Linked DNA regions of Oryctolagus cuniculus. The main gene of each other region encodes a partner of the protein of the gene in region 2 in a complex. Links are inferred from orthologs where the notes say so. Each region holds a gene or a part of one and is shown on either strand. Other genes may lie near its edges.

The links.
Region 1: the proteins of BAK1 (region 2) and PXT1 are in contact, whole or in part, in a crystal structure (PDB 8GSV), measured with the Homo sapiens proteins. The link is inferred for Oryctolagus cuniculus from reciprocal best matches to the Homo sapiens genes BAK1 and PXT1. Residues at the interface, in NP_001179.1 of Homo sapiens: Ile81, Gly82, Asp84, Ile85, Asn86, Arg88, Tyr89, Glu92, Phe93, Met96, Leu97, His99, Leu100, Tyr110, Lys113, Ile114, Ser117, Leu118, Glu120, Ser121, Asn124, Trp125, Gly126, Arg127, Val129, Ala130, Phe134, Asn182; in NP_694535.2 of Homo sapiens: Ile78, Ile79, His80, Lys81, Leu82, Ala83, Met84, Gln85, Leu86, Arg87, His88, Ile89, Gly90, Asp91, Asn92, Ile93, Asp94, Arg96, Met97.
Region 3: the proteins of BAK1 (region 2) and BNIP5 are in contact, whole or in part, in a crystal structure (PDB 8IGC), measured with the Homo sapiens proteins. The link is inferred for Oryctolagus cuniculus from reciprocal best matches to the Homo sapiens genes BAK1 and BNIP5. Residues at the interface, in NP_001179.1 of Homo sapiens: Leu78, Ile81, Gly82, Ile85, Tyr89, Glu92, Phe93, Met96, His99, Leu100, Tyr110, Lys113, Ile114, Ser117, Leu118, Ser121, Asn124, Trp125, Gly126, Arg127, Val129, Ala130, Phe134, Ala180, Leu183; in NP_001010903.3 of Homo sapiens: Ile246, Ile247, Gln248, Met249, Ile250, Val251, Leu253, Leu254, Lys255, Arg256, Val257, Gly258, Asp259, Gln260, Trp261, Glu262, Glu264, Gln265, Ser266.

Annotation. Positions count from the first base shown.
Region 1 is NC_091436.1:133,117,366-133,123,160, reverse strand, and holds part of PXT1 (peroxisomal testis-specific protein 1), read right to left. Parts: intron 1,758-5,795; coding exon 1,627-1,757; intron 1-1,626.
Region 2 is NC_091436.1:135,609,417-135,615,878, reverse strand, and holds the start of BAK1 (bcl-2 homologous antagonist/killer), read right to left. Parts: upstream 3,720-6,462; 5' UTR 3,496-3,719; intron 2,600-3,495; 5' UTR 2,511-2,599; exon of another isoform or gene 2,499-2,510; intron 584-2,498; 5' UTR 551-583; coding exon 481-550; intron 1-480. Other genes in the region: gametogenetin-binding protein 1, read left to right, coding at 5,163-5,593, 6,124-6,245. UniProt on the Homo sapiens protein: Plays a role in the mitochondrial apoptotic process. Upon arrival of cell death signals, promotes mitochondrial outer membrane (MOM) permeabilization by oligomerizing to form pores within the MOM.
Region 3 is NC_091436.1:133,166,821-133,172,615, reverse strand, and holds part of BNIP5 (protein BNIP5), read right to left. Parts: intron 5,227-5,795; exon of another isoform or gene 4,918-5,226; intron 4,090-4,917; exon of another isoform or gene 3,832-4,089; intron 3,071-3,831; 5' UTR 3,068-3,070; coding exon 2,509-3,067; intron 1,929-2,508; coding exon 1,809-1,928; intron 1-1,808.

The DNA of each region.
Region 1 (5,795 bases), about 2.5 Mb from region 2:
TAAATGCCCCAAATATCTCTGTCTCTACATTTCCCTCTCTGTGTAACTTTGCCTTTCAAATAAATAAATAAATCTTTAAAAAATAACAATTGGGGTCAGCGTTGTGGCATAGTAGGTAAAGCCACCATCTATGATGCTGGCATCTCATATGAGCACCAGTTCGTGTCCCAGCTGCTCCACTTTCAATACTAATAGCTCCCTGCTAATAGCTTAGGAAAAGCAGCAGAGGATGCCCCCAAGTTCTTGGGTCTCTGCTACCTATGTGGGAGACCTGGATGAAGCTCCTGGATCCTGGCTTTGGCCTGGTCTAGCCCTGGCCATTGTGGCCATTTGCGGAATAAACCATCAGATGGAAGATCTCTCTCTCTCTCTCTGTAACTCTGAGAACAAATAAACACATCTTAAAAACAACAGAACAACAACAACAATAATAATAGGGGCCATTGCTGTGGCACAGCAGGTAAAGCTTCCACCTGCAGTGCCGGCATCCCATGGGAGTGCTGGTTCAAGTCCTGGCTGCTCCACTTCCAATCCAGCTCCCTGGTAAATGTGCTTGGGAAAGCAGTGGAGCCTGGCCCAGGTGCTTGAAGACCAGATGGAGTTCTAGGCTCAGGCTTCTGCCTGACCCAGCCCTGCTAGTTGCCATCATTTGGAGAGTGAGCCAGTGGTTGGAGGATCTCTCTGTCTCTGTCTCTCCCTCTCTCTCTATAACTTTGTCTTCCAAATAATAAATCTTTTTTTAAAAAATGCCCCAAATAGGCAAATGAATAGAGACAGAAAGAAAATTGGTGGGGAGGACACAGGCTCACTGAGGACAGCGTGGAGGCAGTGATGGGGATTAACAAGAATCCTCACCGGCCGTGAAGTTAAGGGAAGAAGCTGGGTTCTGAGGCACAGCCAGCCCTCCACCATGGGCCGCCATGCAATGGTTCCTCCTCTGTTGCCCACTGCAGGTTGTTCTAGAGGAAAACTAGGCTAGCTGTGGGTGTCATCACCCCCAAGATTTCAAACAGTAGCCTTTTAGTCTTTCCTAATTCCCTTATCATCTCTAACCATAATCAGAAGTCCCTGGGGGCGGGACTCGAGCCACAGCCTTCGGGTTGGTTTAAGGAGGGGAAGCCAGAGCTAAGGCACAGCTTCTGCTCCAACTGCACATTAGATTCACCCCGGGGAGCTAGGAAAATGCCAATTACATCAGAATGTCCCAGAGGTGGGCCCAGGCATCTCTAGTAGCTAAAACTCCATAGGTAATTCTAATCCTACTGTGAGAGGGTGCATCAGTTTCTCCCTAATTGATGTGCACACGGATCCCCTGGGCCATGTGCAAAAAGGCCCATTCTGGCTTGTGACTTCCTGGTGGTGTGGGCAGGATTTTGAGCATCTAACCAGGTCCCTGGGGATGCTGCTGCTGCCAGTCCACGAATCACAGCGAGGGTAGCAAGGATGACAGCAAACGCTGGCCTTGACACAGGCTCACGATTTTTAGATCTGCTGATTGTGTGTGGCATTGTTGGTCCCAGAGCTCTGACCACTCCTGGGCACCTTGGCCACGGGGCAGCAATTGCTTGCTGTCTTTGCTCTTTCCTCCCACCTGACAGGCCCTTGCTGGGAAAAAGGAAGTCTCACCTCTTGAACCATCCTGTGATTGATGCTGTCCCCAATGAGTCTCAATTGTATGGCCAACTTCTGAATTATCTCTTCCTGGTGATGGTTCTGGCCGATGCTATTCTCTTTGGGCTGAGAAGGGGGGTTGTGATCTGCATTGACAGGAAAGAGTTTGAAAGAGAAAACTCTATTAACCATGGGTAAAATGATTCACCACTAGTTACTGAAAACTACATCAGACAATGAGAGAGATGAAACCCAATCAAGAAAATAATTATCAAAAGGCAAAACCTGGGAGCATGGTAGTTAAAACCCCATTTGGGACACACGCATCCCATATTAGAGTGCCTGGGTTCAGTCCTGCTTTCTGCTAATACACACCCTACGAGGCAGCAGGTGATGGTTCAAAAAGTCAGGACGCTGCCACTCATATGATGGGAGACCTGGACTGAGTCCCTGGCTCCCAGTCTCAGCATGGCCCAGCCCTGGCTGTTGTGAGCATTTCGGGAGTGAACCGCAGATAGAAGTTCACTTGCTCTCTCTCTCTTCCTGTCAAATAAAATAATCTTTTTAGAAATTAAAACTATTTATTTATTTATTTTTAAAGATTTACTTACTTATTTTTTTATTTATTTGACAGATAGAGTTAGACAGTGAGAGAGACAGAGAGAAAGGTCTTCCTTCCGTTGGTTCACCCCCCAAATGGCCGCTACAGCCGGCACTGCACTGATCCGAAGCCAGGAGCCAGGAGCCTGGTGCTTCCTCCTGGTCTCCCATGCGGGCACAGGGGCCCAAACAACTGGGCCATCCTCCATTGCCTTCCTGGGCTACAGCAGAGAGCTGCACTGGAAGAGGAGCAACCGGGACTAGAACCCGGTGTCCATATGGGATGCCAGCGCCACAGGCAGAGGATTAACCAAGTGAGCCACAGCGCCAGCCCCACTTACTTATTTTTGAAAGAGTTACGGAGAGGAGACAGAGAGATCTTCTATCCACTGGTTGGCTCCCCAGATAGCCACAACAGCCAGCACTGGGCCAGGCTGAAGTTAGGAGTCAGAAGCTTCATCTGGGTCTCCCACATGGACCCAAGGCAAGGACCCACACACTAGGAATGTCCTCTGCTGCTTTTCAGAAGGCCATTAGTAGGGAGCAGGATCAGAAGTGGATCAGCCTGGGGCCGGCGCTGTGGCGTAGCAGGTAAAGCTGCTGCCTGCAGCGCTGGCATTCCATATGGGTGCCAGTTCAAGTCCTGGCTGCTCCACTTCCAATCCAGCTCTCTGCTATGGCCTGAGAAAGCAGTAGAGGATGGCCCAAGTCCTTGGGCCCCTGCACCCGTGAGGAAGACTTGGAAGAAGCTCCTGACTCCTGGCTTCGGATTGGTGCAGCTCTGGTCATTAGTGGCCCACTGGGGAGTGAACCAGCAGGTGGAAGACCTCTCTCTCTCTCTCTCTCTCTGCCTCTCCTCTCTCTGTGTATCTCTAACTTTCAAATTAATTAATTAATTAATTAATTTAAAAAGAAATGGATCAGCTAGGACACGAACCCGGCACCCGTATGGGATGCTGGTGTTGGCAGCTTTACCTGCTGTGCCCCAGGACCTTTTATTTTTTAAGGCCTGCCCTCAAAGCGATGGGCATTTGGTGCAGTGGTTACAACACTGCTTGGAATGCTCACATCCCACATCGCAGTGCCTGTGTTAGAGTCCCAGCTCCACTTCCAATTCCAGCTTCCTGTTAATGCACACTGGGAAGCAGCAGATGGCGGCTCAAGTGCTTGGGTCCCTGCCACCAGTGTGGGAGGCCTCGACTGAGTTCTCAACTGTTGGCTTCAATCTGGTCCAACGAGAGCTATTGCATGCATGTGGGAAGTGAACCAGGTGACAGGAGATTCTTTCTCTCTCTCTCTCTCCCTCCCTCCCTCCCTCCCTTTTTCTCTGCCTTTCTAATATATTGAAAATTTTAAAAAAAATCAAAGAGCCCAGGGTAAGAAAGAAAAATACACAACTTATGATTTACTAGGTTAGAGCAAGAGTGAGGTTTGCACAGAGGGGCCAGGAAGATGTCCCAAAGGAGCTGACAGCTGAGCTGAGTCCTGAAGTTTGAAGGATGGCCAGGAATTATCCAGGAGGGGCCAGCGCTGGGGCTTGGCAGGTGAAGCCATGGCCTACAATGCCAGTATCCCACTTGGGCATCGGTTTGTGTCCCAGCTGTTCCACTTCTGATCAAGCTCTCGGCTATGGCCTGAGAAAGCAGTAGAGGATGGCCCAAGTCCTTGGGTCCCTGCACCCACGTGGGAGACCTGGAAGAAGCTCCTGGCTCCTGGCTTCAGATCAGCTCATCTCTGGCTGTTGCAGTCATTTGGGGAGTGAACCAGCAGATGGAAGACCTCTCTCTCTCTCTCTCTCTGGTTCTACCTCTCTCTGTAACTCTGCCTTTCAAATAAATAAAATAAATAATAAATCTTTTTTTAAAAAATTAAGCGCCTGAGGTAGGCACTTGGCCTACAGCATATGGCCTGGATTCAGCATCCAACTCCAGCTTCCAGTTAATGTGGACGCTGGGAGGCAACAATGATGGCTCAAGTAATTGGGTCCCTGCCACTCATGTTGGAGACCTGGACTGAGTTCCTGGCTCCACGCGGTAGCCCTGGATACACACTTTTTTAAAATATTGAGCCTTTACACTGAAGTTGGATCTACATTAAAAAAAAAAAAAAAGTAAGTAAACTTCCTGATAATGGGAGGTTGTGTCTGGGGTTCTGTCCATTTACTTCATAAAAGTTAACGTAAAATGGGTTGAGAGCTCTGCTATGGCCCACCTGCATATGGCATTACTTGCTAGCTGAAGAGAGCTGGTGCCCCTGCCCTGTGACATTCGCACACCAAGACAGCGACACCATCATATTACAACATTGTAGCCAGAGAATATTCAGGTCATATATTGGAGGCAAGTGAGAGTCTTCTGACAAGATCATCAGACTGAAGGAAATAAGGGTCAAAATTGGCATTATTTTTGAAGAGTTGGATTTTGAATGTCCAGAGGACAAAAGTATCCCACCTAATACAATAAGGACTACTGAAAAGTTATGTGACTATATAAGCACACATGGTTCTGAAAATAAAACCTGAATCTAAATGGCCTCGTAAGAAATTTGGACAGAAGTCTCGTGTGTAATCTCTACTTAATTCCTTTGTAAGGCAGATCATCCTCCCAGTGTTGGAGCCTTCCGCCACGGCTGTGTGGCGAGGGCCCTGCAGGGGCACCAGTGCCAGCTGTCCTGGTTGCCTTCAGGGAAGTTCCTAAGCAAACCTGCTCCAAATCGGTGTGCAAGTGTCTTCCACAGCCACTTATAATGTAAATATTATATTGTCTCCTGTGCTGGTCCTCCTGCATACTCCCGATTTCATTCACTGAAAATGGGAGTTGGGTGACTTCTGGCTCAAGATTGGCTTCTCCTCCCTGAATCCCCTCCAAGACATCACCAAAATGGAGTAGAAAAAAGAAAGCCAAAACACTGAACAGGATGGGAGTCCCAGCCAACAGCAGATGAGTGGGCTGTACACGTTTCTGGAGGCAGGAAGCAGGGATAAGATGTGGACAAGTGAATCAGGCAGAGAAAAGTCCAAGGACCCATCTCAGGGGCTCCTGAGGCTTAGAAGCCTGTCTATCCCACGGAGACTGGGAGGCTGCGAGGGGGAGAGAGATGTGCCCCTTACAGGAGGGCTGATGCGGGAACAAGAGCCCCGCCTGGCACCCTTGGCACCCCCAGCCCAGTGTACTCAGCACAGATCGCAGGCACAAAAGCCCCAGAAGAGTCAGTCTTCTGCTAGCACTTAAGATTCCAGCTGAGATGGCCACATCCCCTGTCAGAGTGTCTGGGTTCCAGGCCCCACCTAAGCTACTGGCTCCAACCGCTTGCTGATGCGAACCCTGGGAAGCAGCATGTGATGGCTCAAGGAGTAGGATTCTCAAGTAGTTGGAGACCTGGCTTGAATACCTGGCTACACGGCTTCAGCTCAGCTCAGTTCCAGCCATTGCAGATATTTCAGGAGTCAATGGTAGGCAGGTAGATGGAAGCTCTTTCTGTCTCTCTACAACTCAAATTAAAAAACAAACAAGGAGGGGCCAGCACTGTGGCTCACTTGGTTAATCCTCCACCTGCAGCGCCGGCATCCCATATGGGCACCAGGT
Region 2 (6,462 bases):
GTGTGCAAGGGATGCCCAGCCCTTGCCTGCTGCAGGCTGTACTCTGGGCTTCCCTGGCCATAGGCTCAGAAAGGGGAAGGCAGAAGGCGAAAGGCGGGCGCCATCTCATTCCTCCCCAGGCACAACATTCGCTCTCTGTCCTGCAGACCTGCCTGGCTGATAAGCGCCCCAGCTTCCTGATTTCTTCTCCCACAGGGAAGCGGGGATGGTAGAACCACCCCTTCCTCTGACCTCACAGCCTTCTTGCTGGCACCCAGCCCGCCCAGGCTCCGCCCTGCCCACGCCAAGCGCCTAGCCTGGCTCACAGCTCCTGCCTTCTGCACCCGTGGGCCTTGGGTACAAAGATGTCACCTTCATCCAGAGGAGCTGCACCCAGGCAGCACAGTGCACCCCTGTGTCCGGCTTGGCCCTGTCCACCTCTGCCCACTCCACCCTCGGGATGGCCCCCATGGCTGGGGGGTGGGGGCAGGAGACCCTTACCAGAAGTGGAGGGCTCGGGAGGCTCTCCACAGCCTTCGCCAGGAGGACCTGGGCCTTGCCCGGATGCCATCTTGTTCAGGCCTCAGTGGAGGACACGGTCAGCCTGTGGGGATGGGGAGAAAAAGCAGAGATGGGCACGGGCAGGGGCCTGACCAGGCAGCCCAGAGAGGGCCTCCCGAGCAGGCTGGAGGGCACCCATTCCCATGGAGACCCCCAGTCTTCTGGGCTTTCTTTCTCTTTCTCTTTTTTTCTTTCAATTTAAGGCAGAGAGATTAATCTTCCACCCACCGGTTCAGTCTCCAAGCAGCCAGGTCTGGGCCAGGATGAAGCCAGGAGCCAGGGGCTCCATCTGGGTCTCTCAAGTGGGTGCAGGGCCCCAAGCACTTGGAGCATCAGCCACTGCTTTCCCAGGCACATTAGCAGGGAGCCGGAGCAGAAGTAGAGCAGGGCCAGCACTGTGGCGTAGCGGGTAAAGCCGCCGCCTGCAGTGCGGCATCCCATATGAGCATCGGTTCGTGTCCCGGCTGCTCCACTTCCAATCCAGCTCTTTGCTGTGGTCTGGGAAAGCAGAAGATGGCCCAAGTCCTTGAGCCCCTGCACTCATGTGGGAGACCCGGAGGGAGCTCCTGGCTTCGGATCGGACGGCTCTGGACGTTGCGGCCAACTGGGGAATGAACCAGCAGATGGAGGACCCCTCTCTCTTTCTCTGTCTCTCCTTCTCTCTCTGTGTAATTCTGACTTTCAAATAAATAAGTAAATCTTAACAAAAATTAATACAGAAAGAGAAACACAGACAGAGCTCTCCTACCTGCTGGTTCACTCCCCAAATGTCCATGGTAGTCAGGGCCGGGCCGGGCCAGCCAGGAACTCCATCCTAGCCTTCCACATGGGTGGGAGCCCCCTGGGTGCTTGAGCCATCCCCTGCTGCCCCCCAGGGTGCACATTAGCGGGCTGGGATGGGAAGCAGAGCCAGCACCCAGACCCAGGCACTGGCGGTGTGGGCGTCCCAGGCAGCGCTTCCCTGCCGCCGAACACCGTCCCCGGCACTTCTCTTCCCACCACCTCGGGTCCCGGTGGAGTCTACGCGGGGAATGGGCACTCCTGGAGCAATCACTGGCAACCCTGCAAGGGAGCTGGGGTCGCCAAGGGGAGGCAGCTGGGGACACACTCAGGGATCCGTACACATGGTCTGCGACCAGCTGCCGGGGCCTCTGGGAGGGCGTGGCCACAGCTGTGCCACTGCACATGTTAGCTTCAGAGCAGCCCAGGGCCTGCGGCACCCACAGCACACGCCTACTGCAGCCTGCCGCCCCGGCCAATCACCCACGAAGGCCTTACTTCCCCTTAGCAGGCCAGAACACAGCTGTTCCCCAGCTCAGGCCTGTTAGCTGTCTCCCGAGAGCCTATGGTGTACTCTGCCACCTTGGAGCACTGCCCAGGCCTTGAGTGTTGAAAACACACATTGACTCAGTGAGGTAAGCACCACCGTACCCATTTTACAGATGGGAAAGGTGAGGCATGCAGAGATTAGCGCCTGAGGCCAGGAGGCTAATCAGCCAGGCTGACTGGCTGTGTGAATGTTCAGGGGTCCATGAACTCAAAACTGATCTAAGAGTCATACTCTGTCAGCCGGCCTTTCTCCCCATCTACTCCCTGCCTGCTGGCCCCAGGCCGCATACACAGACTGCACAGCTTGTACCCAACGCTCACGTTGTGTACCCCAGGCCACACCGCACACCCTGGCCCCACACCTGGAACCCTGGCCTCACACCTCGTACCCAGGCCCCAGGCCTCATACCCCGGCCCCACACCTCACACCCAGACCCAAGCCTCATACTCTGGCCCCACACCTCATACCCAGGCCCCAGGACTCCTACCCCAGCCCCATGCCTCCTACCCAGGCTCAGGCCTCATACCCCAGTCCCACGCCTTATACCCCGGCCCCACCACGCCTTGTACCCAGGCCCCACACCTCGTACCCTGGCCTCACACCGTGTACCCCAGCCCACGCCTCTAACCTGGCCTCACACCTGCTCTCCTGTCCCGGCTCGGTTTCCCTCTTCGCCCCGTCCCGGCCGCAGCGCCGATCTGCCGGTGCCCTGGGCAGAGGGAGTGTTTCCTGGATGTCAGTTGTTTCACTTTCACTTTGCACCCCTTGCGGAGCCCAGTTTCCCCAAAGTTGCCTCCATCAGCAGGAAGGAAGCGCCCCCTCCTTGGCCTGCAGAGGGTGCAGCCGAGCCCGGACCCCACCCCTCCTGAGCCTGGGAACACCCCCCACCTTCTTTTCAAGCTCTCCAGGGGCTCTCTGAGAAGGGGTGGGGGCCACCTGTGTGTCTCTGCACCCCACCCTCACCTTCTTAGGGGGTGGGATAGGCTACGGCAGCCAGACTCATTAAAATAGACCTTGGCCTGGCACACCCCCTCCCCAAGCAGCTCCTTCCCCCTGCTCCCCAGGTCCCAGCACCCCCAAGACAGCACGGCCAGAGGATGCTGACCGCACCCCCAGCCCCTCCAGCACCTCCCCAGGGGCTCACTGCTAGTAAGCAGGCAGAGCCTCAGAACAGCCCCCACCAGCCCAGGCAAGTGGCCTCACCTCACCTAAGGGGACACCATCCCCAGCACCCCCAATCTGCTGGGCCTGGGATGGATGTCCCCAGGGAGATCGGCCTGGCTGGCCGGAGTGGGGTGGGGGTGGGGGAGCATGGAAAACCGAAAGTTCTCTCCCTGCCCTTGACCTAGGCTCTGACCCCCACTTCCATCCCCTGGATGGCTAAACGCCCCAGTTCTTGGTCATCCTGGGGCCAGGGCCAGAAGGGAAGCTGGGGGGTGGGGGGAGACCAAGCTAGAGGGAGCCCCAGCAAAAGCAGTCCCCTGCAGGAGTCGGAGGAACTGCCAGGCAAACCTTAAGGCCTTCCCCCACCCCCCACTCCCCAGCACCCTCCTGGAGGGCTCTCTGCCCCACCCTGGAGCCGGGGCTGCTGGATTAGGGAGCGTGGAGGGGCTCTCCCAGCTTACCTGCCCACACTCAGGCCGAGGCCATGGGTCCTCTCGAGGCCAGGCGGGTCCCAGCTTCCAGGAACAGGCGTCAGTGTTCCGGGCGGCCGGATGCAGCCTCTGCTGGTCCCGGCACGGCCCGAGGGACCCTCACGGCTCGGACGATCATAGAGGTGCTGGCTGCTCCCGGCCGCAATCAGCTCCCTCTAGAGGAAGTCGCTGGGCGGTCGCCGGATGCCGAGGCACAGGCCTGGAGCCCAGAGCGGGAAGGCCGGGGCTGGCTGAGCCCAGGGGCGGCGCGGGCGAGCGGGAGAGGCGGCAGCTCTCCTTCACCCTCCCCGACTGCCAACCCACCTCGACCTTGATCTTTCTCACTTCCTTCCATGCGTACCGATAAAGACACAGGGTGCCCAAGTTTCTTAAGCTCCAACTGCTGCAGGCCATGCACTTTAGCAACCTTGGTCTTGTGGATCCAGTCAACCAGGACCTTCTCAACAGCCCCTGGAAGTAGGTGCCATGGACTACACCCATTTTACAGATGAGCAAATCAAGCCCCAGCTGGTTTACAGAATCACTGAGCTGATTGATAATCACATCCGTAGGTGGAGAGTGATAATACTGAATTGAGATTCCACCTGTAATTCAGATCGACGCGCCAGGCACCTCGGTGGTGTCTGGAGATTGGAAATCCTGAAGTCGGCAGGCAGAGCAGCACAGATCAGAGGCCCAGCATTATGGCTGCAGCAGGCTAAGCTGTCATCTGCAATATTGGCATCCCACACGGAAGCACGGGTTTGAGTCCCGGCTGCTCCACTTCCCATCCAGCTCCCTGCTAATGTGCCGGGGGGGGGGGGGGATGCAACAAAAGATGGCCCAAGTGCTTGGGCCCCTGCACCCACGTGGGAGACCTGGCCTTGGCCTGGCCCAGCCCTGGCTGTTGCAGTGGTTGGGGGAGAGAACCAGCGGATGGAAGCTCTCTCTCTGAGTCTCCCTCTCACTCTGTAGCTTTGCCTTTTAAATAAATCAACACATCTTTAAAAGCAACAACATCCACAAACTCCATGGTGGGGACAGGCATTTGGCCCAGTGAAGAAGCTGCTGCTCAGGACGCCTGCATCCTGTATCCGAGTGCCAGGGTTCAAGCCCCAGCTCCACTTCCTATAGCAGTTTCCTGCTAGTGTGCACCCTGGAGGCACCGGGTGAGGGCTGCCATCCATGTGGGAGATCTGGATGGAGCTCCAGGCTCCTTCATTCAGCCTGGCCCAGCCCTACCTGTTGTGGGCATTTGGGGAGTGAACCAGCAGGTGCAAGATGTCTCTCTCTGTCTGGCTGCCTTTCAGATAAGATAAAAATTGTTAAATCCTCAGTGAGTGGGGACAGGGGAGGGAGGGCAGGTGCTGTCTGGCTGCGGGAATGTTCCGCAGGACAGAAGGAGGCAGGGTCCCCGCAGCCCCTGGTCTCAGTCCTGGTCCCTCTCGGCCGCCTCCCGGGACTCCTGCAGCCCCGAGAAGCAGCAGCCCGCCAGGCCTCTGCCTTTAACTCCTCCCCACCCCCACCCCATCTGCTCTGTGCCTTCTGGAACTTCCGGAAGTTTCCAACTGGAGGTTTAATTTGAAAACTCCTGTTCTTCAGCAGTTGGTCCTGGGGTGGCTACCTTGACCCTCGCTCTGAGAGGCTCCGCTCTCAGGATGGAGGCCCCAGCTCCGACCCCTCGCCCGCGGATTTTGGGCCACTCTTCCATGTTCTGCTTTTTCCATAGTTTGGCTAGGAGCAGGGACAGCCGGAAGAGCCCTGGCCAGGCGCTGGTACCGCAGCTCGGGGTCAGCTCCCTGATGCTTGGCTGCCAGGGAGGCGGAAGGAGGGAGGTGGGGCCACCTGCCACCCTGCAGGGCAGCCCATCTGTGGCCACACCCAAGGGCGCCACCCATCTGCCTTGGCTGGATCCCTTGGGGCTGGACATGGGCGACATGCGGGTCCACACCCCCGACCCCAAGGAGGTCCTGAGGGTCCCGGCCCAGGCCGTGAAGGTAAAGGCAGTGCTGCCCACCGGAAGCCAGGAAGTGCTAGGCAACCCGTCTGAGGAAGGGAGGGAAAAGGAGCAGCCAGCCTCCAGGGACAGGTGAGGGGCTGTGGAGCCCCAGGCGGGGCAGTGGCCTGGGGCTGGGGGCAGCATCTGGGCCTGGGATGGGGGCACCCAGGCTGAGAAGCGTCAGAAAGCAAGTTCCCAGCTGGATAAGGAGCTCAGTGGGGCGCCTGAATGGGCGGGGGCAGGGATAAGGGGACAGGGACAGGGAGGAGCCATCAGGGGTTGGGGGGCAGTGGGGCTGGGGGCAGGGACAGGGTCCTCCTGCAAGTGTAAGCTGTCTTCGTCCCGGAGGGAGCACTAGACACCGGAGGGGAACGAGCCAGGGCAGGCGGGGTGCCCAGCGCCCCCAGCCCCTCTGCCAGGCCCTGTCCTTGGCGCTCTCTCTCCCCCAGCACCCCACTTGCTCCCTGGCACCCCTCTCTCTGCTCTCTGCCTTCTGCAGCCTGCTCTGGGAAGGCACAGCACGGGGCTGAGGGGAGAGGTGGTGGCAGGGCGCATGCGCAGGGGTGGGGTGGTCTCCGGACCCCTCCTGCTTCCCCTCCCTGACTGTGCTGTGGGATTAGGGGCTACTTGGCCTGGGCTCTGGAGGTAGAGCAAGACCACCTGCAGAGGGCCCTGGGGCCAGTGGAGGACACCACGGAGGCCGTCACCAGCGACGACGAGGAGATGGAACATCTGCTCGAGGGTGAGTGCGGGGGCCAGAGGGCCGGGCGGGCGCCAGGCACGTGGGGCGGACCCTGTTCCTCCAGGGCTTCTGAGGGTGCAGGGCCTGGTGGGATATGGGACACAGCCCCAGCTCCAGCACGCCCCCCCCCCCCCAGGGATGTGACAGCGGCTCCTTGCGTCCTCACGGCGGTGAGAGTGTCGCACCTGTCCTGTCCGGCAGGGTAGTTGCAAGGATT
Region 3 (5,795 bases), about 2.4 Mb from region 2:
AGAGAGCGCGGCTGTGCCACCTCCACCGCGTTGCCAAGCCTTCGAGCAGAGGCCACGAACCATGGAACAGGGTCCTTTCATGCCCTGGCCGACCCGCTCCGGGGCTGCTGCCCACTGTCCTCTGGCACTGCGAGCATTTGTGCTTACACCGGGAGAGGCAAACACGGTTCCCAAAGACCCCCAGGCTGTCCGCAGCGTTCTCTGCACCCTCACTGCCCTCCTTCAGCTCCCTCTCACTTGTGCGTGCTGTCTGGCTTATTACAAAATGGTTCTATGATTTTTTTAAAAAAGATTTATTTTATTTGAAAGTCAGAGTTACACAGAGAGAGAGGCAGAGAGAGAGAGAGAGAGAGAGAGAGAGAGTCTTCCATCCACTGGTTCACTCCCCAGATGGCTGCAATGGCCAGAGCTGGGCTGATCTGAAGCCAGGAGCCAGGAGCTTCTTCCGGGTCTCCCATGCAGGTACAGGGGCCCAAGGACTTAGGCCATCCTCCACTGCCTTCCCAGGCTGTAACAAAGAGCTGGATTGGAAGTGGAGCAGCCAGGTCTCAAACCGGCGCCCATATGGGATGCTGGCACAGCAGGGGCTAGGGCATTTACCCACTGCGCCACAGTGCCGGCCCCAGTTCTATGATTAAAACGATACCCATACAAGGGATTTCATAAAGCTCATGGAAAAAAACGGAATTAAAAGTTCATTTTGGCCGGCGCCGCAGGCTAATCCTCCGCCTAGCGGCACCAGCACACCAGGTTCTAGTCCCGGTCGGGGCACCAGATTCTGTCCCGGTTGCCCCTCTTCCAGGCCAGCTCTCTGCTACGGCCCGGGAGTGCAGTGGAGGATGGCCCAGGTGCTTGGGCCCTGCACCCCATGGGAGACCAGGAGAAGCACCTGGCTCCTGCCTTTGGATCAGCACAGTGCGCCGGCAGCGGTGGCCATTGGAGGATTGGAGGGTGAACCAACGGCAAAAGGAAGACCTTTCTCTCTGTCTCTCTCACTGTCCACTCTGCCTGTCAAAAAAAAAAAAAAAATAGTTCATTTTAGGGCTGCCGTTATGGCGTAGTGGGTAAAGCCGCCACCTGCGGTGCTGGCATCCCATATGGGTCCAAGTTCATGTCCTGGCTGCTCCACTTCTGATCCAGCTCCCTGCTAATGGCCTGGGAAAGCAGCAGAGGATGACCCAAGTGCTTGGGCCCCTGTACCCACGTGGGAGTCCAGGAAGAAGTTCCTGGCTCAGACCGGCTTAGAAGACTAAACTGAAAAGTCTCATTGGGCCTGCGCTGTGGCGCTGTGGGTTAAAGCCCTGGTCTGAAGTGCTGGCATCCCATATGGGCGCCAGTTCTAGTCCCAGCTGCTCCTCTTCCAATCCAGCTCTCTGGTATGGCCTGGGATAGCAGTAGAAGATGGCCCAAGTCCTTGGGCCCCTGCACCCGTGTGGGAGACCCAGAAGAAGCTCCTGGCTCCTGGCTTCAAATTGGCACAGCTCCAGCGGCCATCTGGGGAGTGAACCATCAGATGGAAGGCCTCTCTCTCTCTCTGGTTCTACCTCTCTCTGTAACTCTTTCAAGTAAATAAAATAAATCTTAAAAAAAAAAAAAAAAAAAAAAAAAAAGTCCCGTTACTACCTAAGGCAGAAGCATCTGCCAGCAGTCTTTCCAAACCGAGAGACTCCCTCCTGGGAAACCCTAAAATAAGTCAGCGTGGCCACAGCACGGGGAGAGGCGAGAGGGACCAGCGGCCCGGGCTCAGCGACCATTCTGAGTGATCGGCTCATCCCAGCACTGCCCTGGCCGCAGGGACAAGGACTCACGGTCGGGCTTCGTGAGCGCCTCTTCTTGCCGGTGATCTGTGGCTTGGGGACAGACGTCTGCGGCTCCAGCACCTTCCCCTTCGGTGAGCAAGGACTGATGGAGTTGGTCATCTTCCCCACCTGGAACCCAGAGGACAGCAGGTGGCGGTGTGCGCGGGGCGGGGACATGCTCCTGGACTGTTCATCTCCGGGAGCGCAGAACCCCAGCACCCCGGGGGCATGGCCAAAGCTGGCATTTGAAAAGCAGCAGCCCCCGCTCAGGCATCCTTCTCACTGCCCCTCTCCCTAGTCCTGGAGCTTCCTGAGCTCGCCTCAGGGAAGCTCCATCTTCCTGCAGCTGCGGTGGGATTTCAGCTCCAGGGCCCAGGAGTCAGGCCAGGGAGGCACCCTGGGGACCGGCTGTCTCACTGGGGGGGTCAGCCACTTTCTCAAGGTCACACAGCAAGTTCACTCCTGATGGAGCCAACTCTAGGACCAGGGTCTGCAGCCAGCTGGGTGATGGCGTTCTCCTCTCTCCCCCTTCCCATTTCTCCTGGGTCTGTTGCTGGCCCCAGGCCACACAGCTGGAGAAGGGAGGCCCTGCCAGCCATCAGCCCTGGTGCTGAAAATGTCACAGCAGTGCTGTCCCCAGCAGTCCCCCTTTCCCTGTCCCCCCTGGTGCTGGGCAGGGTGGTGGAGCCGCCAGGCGCAGTATGCTCACCTCCGTGAGCCGGGCTCAGCCTGGGCCGCCCTGCCTGTTGGTCTCCAGCCTCCATGTCTTGAGTCCCGTTGGTTTCCTCAGGGCTGGGTTTCTTAGAGCCAGATTTCCTGCGGCTGGCCTTCGTGTCCTGGACTTTCTTCCTGCAGGCTGGTTCCCCTGCAGCCTCTGGGGGCTCTGAGGCCTGGGGGAAGCCCTCCTTCCCTCTTGGCCTCCTGCTGGCCTTTTCTTTGGGCTCCTCGGACGCCCTCAGCAGGAAGCTCAGGAGTGTCTTTAACCATCTCGGCTGGGCCCACCACCTCGGGGCCTTGTCTCTCTTGGCGTCTTGTGGGGGCCTCTGCTCTCCCATGTCTTCCGGAGGCAGGGCTGCTGACCCCACAGACAGAGCCGGGCTCTCAGGACCCCTGGCGCCATCGCTGGCCGTCCGGCGGAGCGCCCTCCTGGGCGAGGCGGCCAGGGAGAGGTTCCCTGATGTGCAGCCCCTCGGCGGGGCCTTCGGCCTGTCCAGAGACCGGGTTCTCCTGGCTGCCGGGGGCTTCCTCGGGCCCCTCTGGTTCTCCATGGGCTGCAACAAAAGCAAAGAGCCGCTTCAGGAGAGGCCCACTGGACACGGGCGTGGGGCCCTCCCGGAAGGGGGTGTCCCCGTCCCCGCTCTCGGTGGGGGAGATGGGACCACGGGGAGACAGTGCCCCCATCTCACAGAGACTTGGCAGCCCCTCCTGGGATGCCAGCAGGACGCCAGCCCCGGCCACGCCTGGGTTCAGTCCTCAGACACTGATGCGGACTGGGGCCCCCAGAACTGCACGGTGCCTCTTTCCTGTTGCTCTGAGGCGCCGAGTGTGTGCGATTCTGTGCCCGCGCAGCCTCGGGAAACAGACCCCTTCCCCGCCCTGGGGAGCTCTGGCACCTCTGCGGGCTCACGTCCTCATCGGAAACGTGCCCCACCCCTGTCCTGTGCGTCTCCCGGGCTGCCGGGGGCATTTTACGGCTGGGCTCGGGCCACGCCAGCTCTGCACCTGCAACTGAAAACCTGCCATCTGCCCTGACTCTGTTCTCTCCCTTCCACGGCTGAGCCAGCCGTAGGGCTTCCCGCCTCACTCCAATGCCCGTCTCCAGCTGTGCTCACCTGGGCGATCACACTGGCTCCTGCGGGGTCTCCCTCCTCTCCTCTTGCCCTCCTCCCAGGAGCCCCTCCCTCCAGCAGCCCCAGGGGCTCCCTCCCTTCTGGGAGCTCCTGCACTGGCCATGGCCCCCTGGGCCATCACCTCCCCCTCCCCTCTCCCTTAGCCACCCCACCATGCCTGCTTGCTGTCGCTCAGTCCCGCTCCACCTCCTGGCCTTTCTTCTGGCCAGTCCCTCTTTCTAGAACGTTCTTCTCTCAGAAGCCAAGGATATGTTCAATTGTCTCCTGCTCCTGGAGGCCCTCCCTGGCCACTGCCTCTGAGCGCTCCCTCTGCCCGCCCCCCACCTGCCGCGGTGCGAGATGGGGCACTGAAGCCCCCCTGCCTTTGGTCCGTTCTGCCAGGTCTTGCATCCTCAGCGCCCACAACAACGTCCCCGGCAGACTCCTTGCTCCATGAACAGGTACATGTGTAACGCTGAAGCGTTCAGTAACCCGTGCGACCCACTGTGCGTCCGGGCTGGGCCCATGTGAGAGGCCCTTCTGCTCCCCACGAGGAGCCAAGCGGCTTCCAGGGGAACCGGGGAGAGAACCGCCTGTTCCGGCGGCGTCTCCTGCAGGCCTGGGTGTGGGCGGCGCCCTGGGGTGCGTGTCTTTTGTCCCCCAGGCTGCTCAGAAACCTTTGCTCCTTAATGGGCCATAAAAGAAAAACAGGATGTGGGTTAGAATCCCTAACCTGTGCTCCCAGGCAGCCGTGCAGTTAGGCCAGGGGGTCATCTACGCTGATTCCCCACTGTGGTTTTTCCTGTGTTGATGAAGGTGATTTAGTGGTAGGGGCCGTAAATGTTTTTACGTCATATCCCCTGCCTGTGCGAGGTGATTCATCTACTCTGAAATGTACCCCCTTGTTATGTCCAGCACAGAGGTGTGAAGCGGGCTTCCCATATGAACCCTGGCTTGAATCCTGGCCGTACCACTTCCCATCCAGCTCTCTGCTCATGTACCTGGGGAGGCAGCAGAAGGTGGCCCAACTGCTTGGACCACTGCTACCCTCAGGGAGACCTGGAGGATGCTCCTGGCTTCTGGCAGATGGAAGACCTCTCTCTATATATTTCTGCCTTTCAAATAAATAAATATTTTTTTAGAAAAGCTGCCATCACTATGGAGATGGTTTGCAGCATGGCTGATGGCCGCAGTGTCCCCTGCCCCATTCCAGGAACACCTGTGCCTCCTAATCCGAGCATCATGCAGCTGCACCAGAAAATGCTCTTCCTTCTTTGTGTTTTTTCCAGAAAACGGACTGATTTGCCCACCGCCTCCCTCGAAGAACCCAGATCCTCGGCCCAGAGGAAGGCGAAGGCCATTGCAGCTCCATTGCTCACCCTGAAGGTGCCCTGTCCGATTCCCCTTCCTGCTGTGACCAGCGCAGCCCAGCTCCGCCCACCTCTCTGAATGCCCCACCCCCTAGCTGCCCTCATGGAAGCCAGGAGAAGCACCGGTTTCCATAGCAACACCTCCCCGTGCACACAAGCCACAGCGACGTCTTCCTAGGCTTTCTGAACGACCATTTCCAGAATTCATCAAAGCAAGGCTTTCCTTTCCTTTCCTTGTTGTCTGTCTGTGCCTCACGGGGACTCCCTCCTGTTGGAAACAGTCCCCCACCACCACCTGGGCTGATACACCTAGGCAGCAGCACAGCCTCACTGCCTGGGCTCCCAGCTGCTCTCGGGAAATTGTGGATGGCCTTGACAGAGAGTGGTTTTCAGAGCAAAGTCCACACTGGCTCAGAAACACCCCAGGGACTTCTGATAAGACAGGGCAAGTCCCATCAGCAGTCAGCAGAGAGAAAGCTGACCCCGAGCAGGAAGCCGGCCTGTTTTCCTTGTCACGCAGCTGTTTGGTTTGCTTCTGAATTGCACGTTGACCTCATCCCTGTACTGGTTTCTAATGGGTGCACCTGGCTGGGTTCCCCTCTCTGACCTCACAGAGATCCTTCACCGCGCCCCTCCCAGCCCTGTCCCTCATTCAGTAAATATAACAGCCGGCTGGCTACACACCCACCAGCTGCGCCAAGGGACCGTGCGTGTGGCACTCATGTGTGGACCCACAGCCCACACCCAGCCGTGTGTGCACAGTCTCAGAAACCCAGGGCTGGGGCCGGCATTGTGGT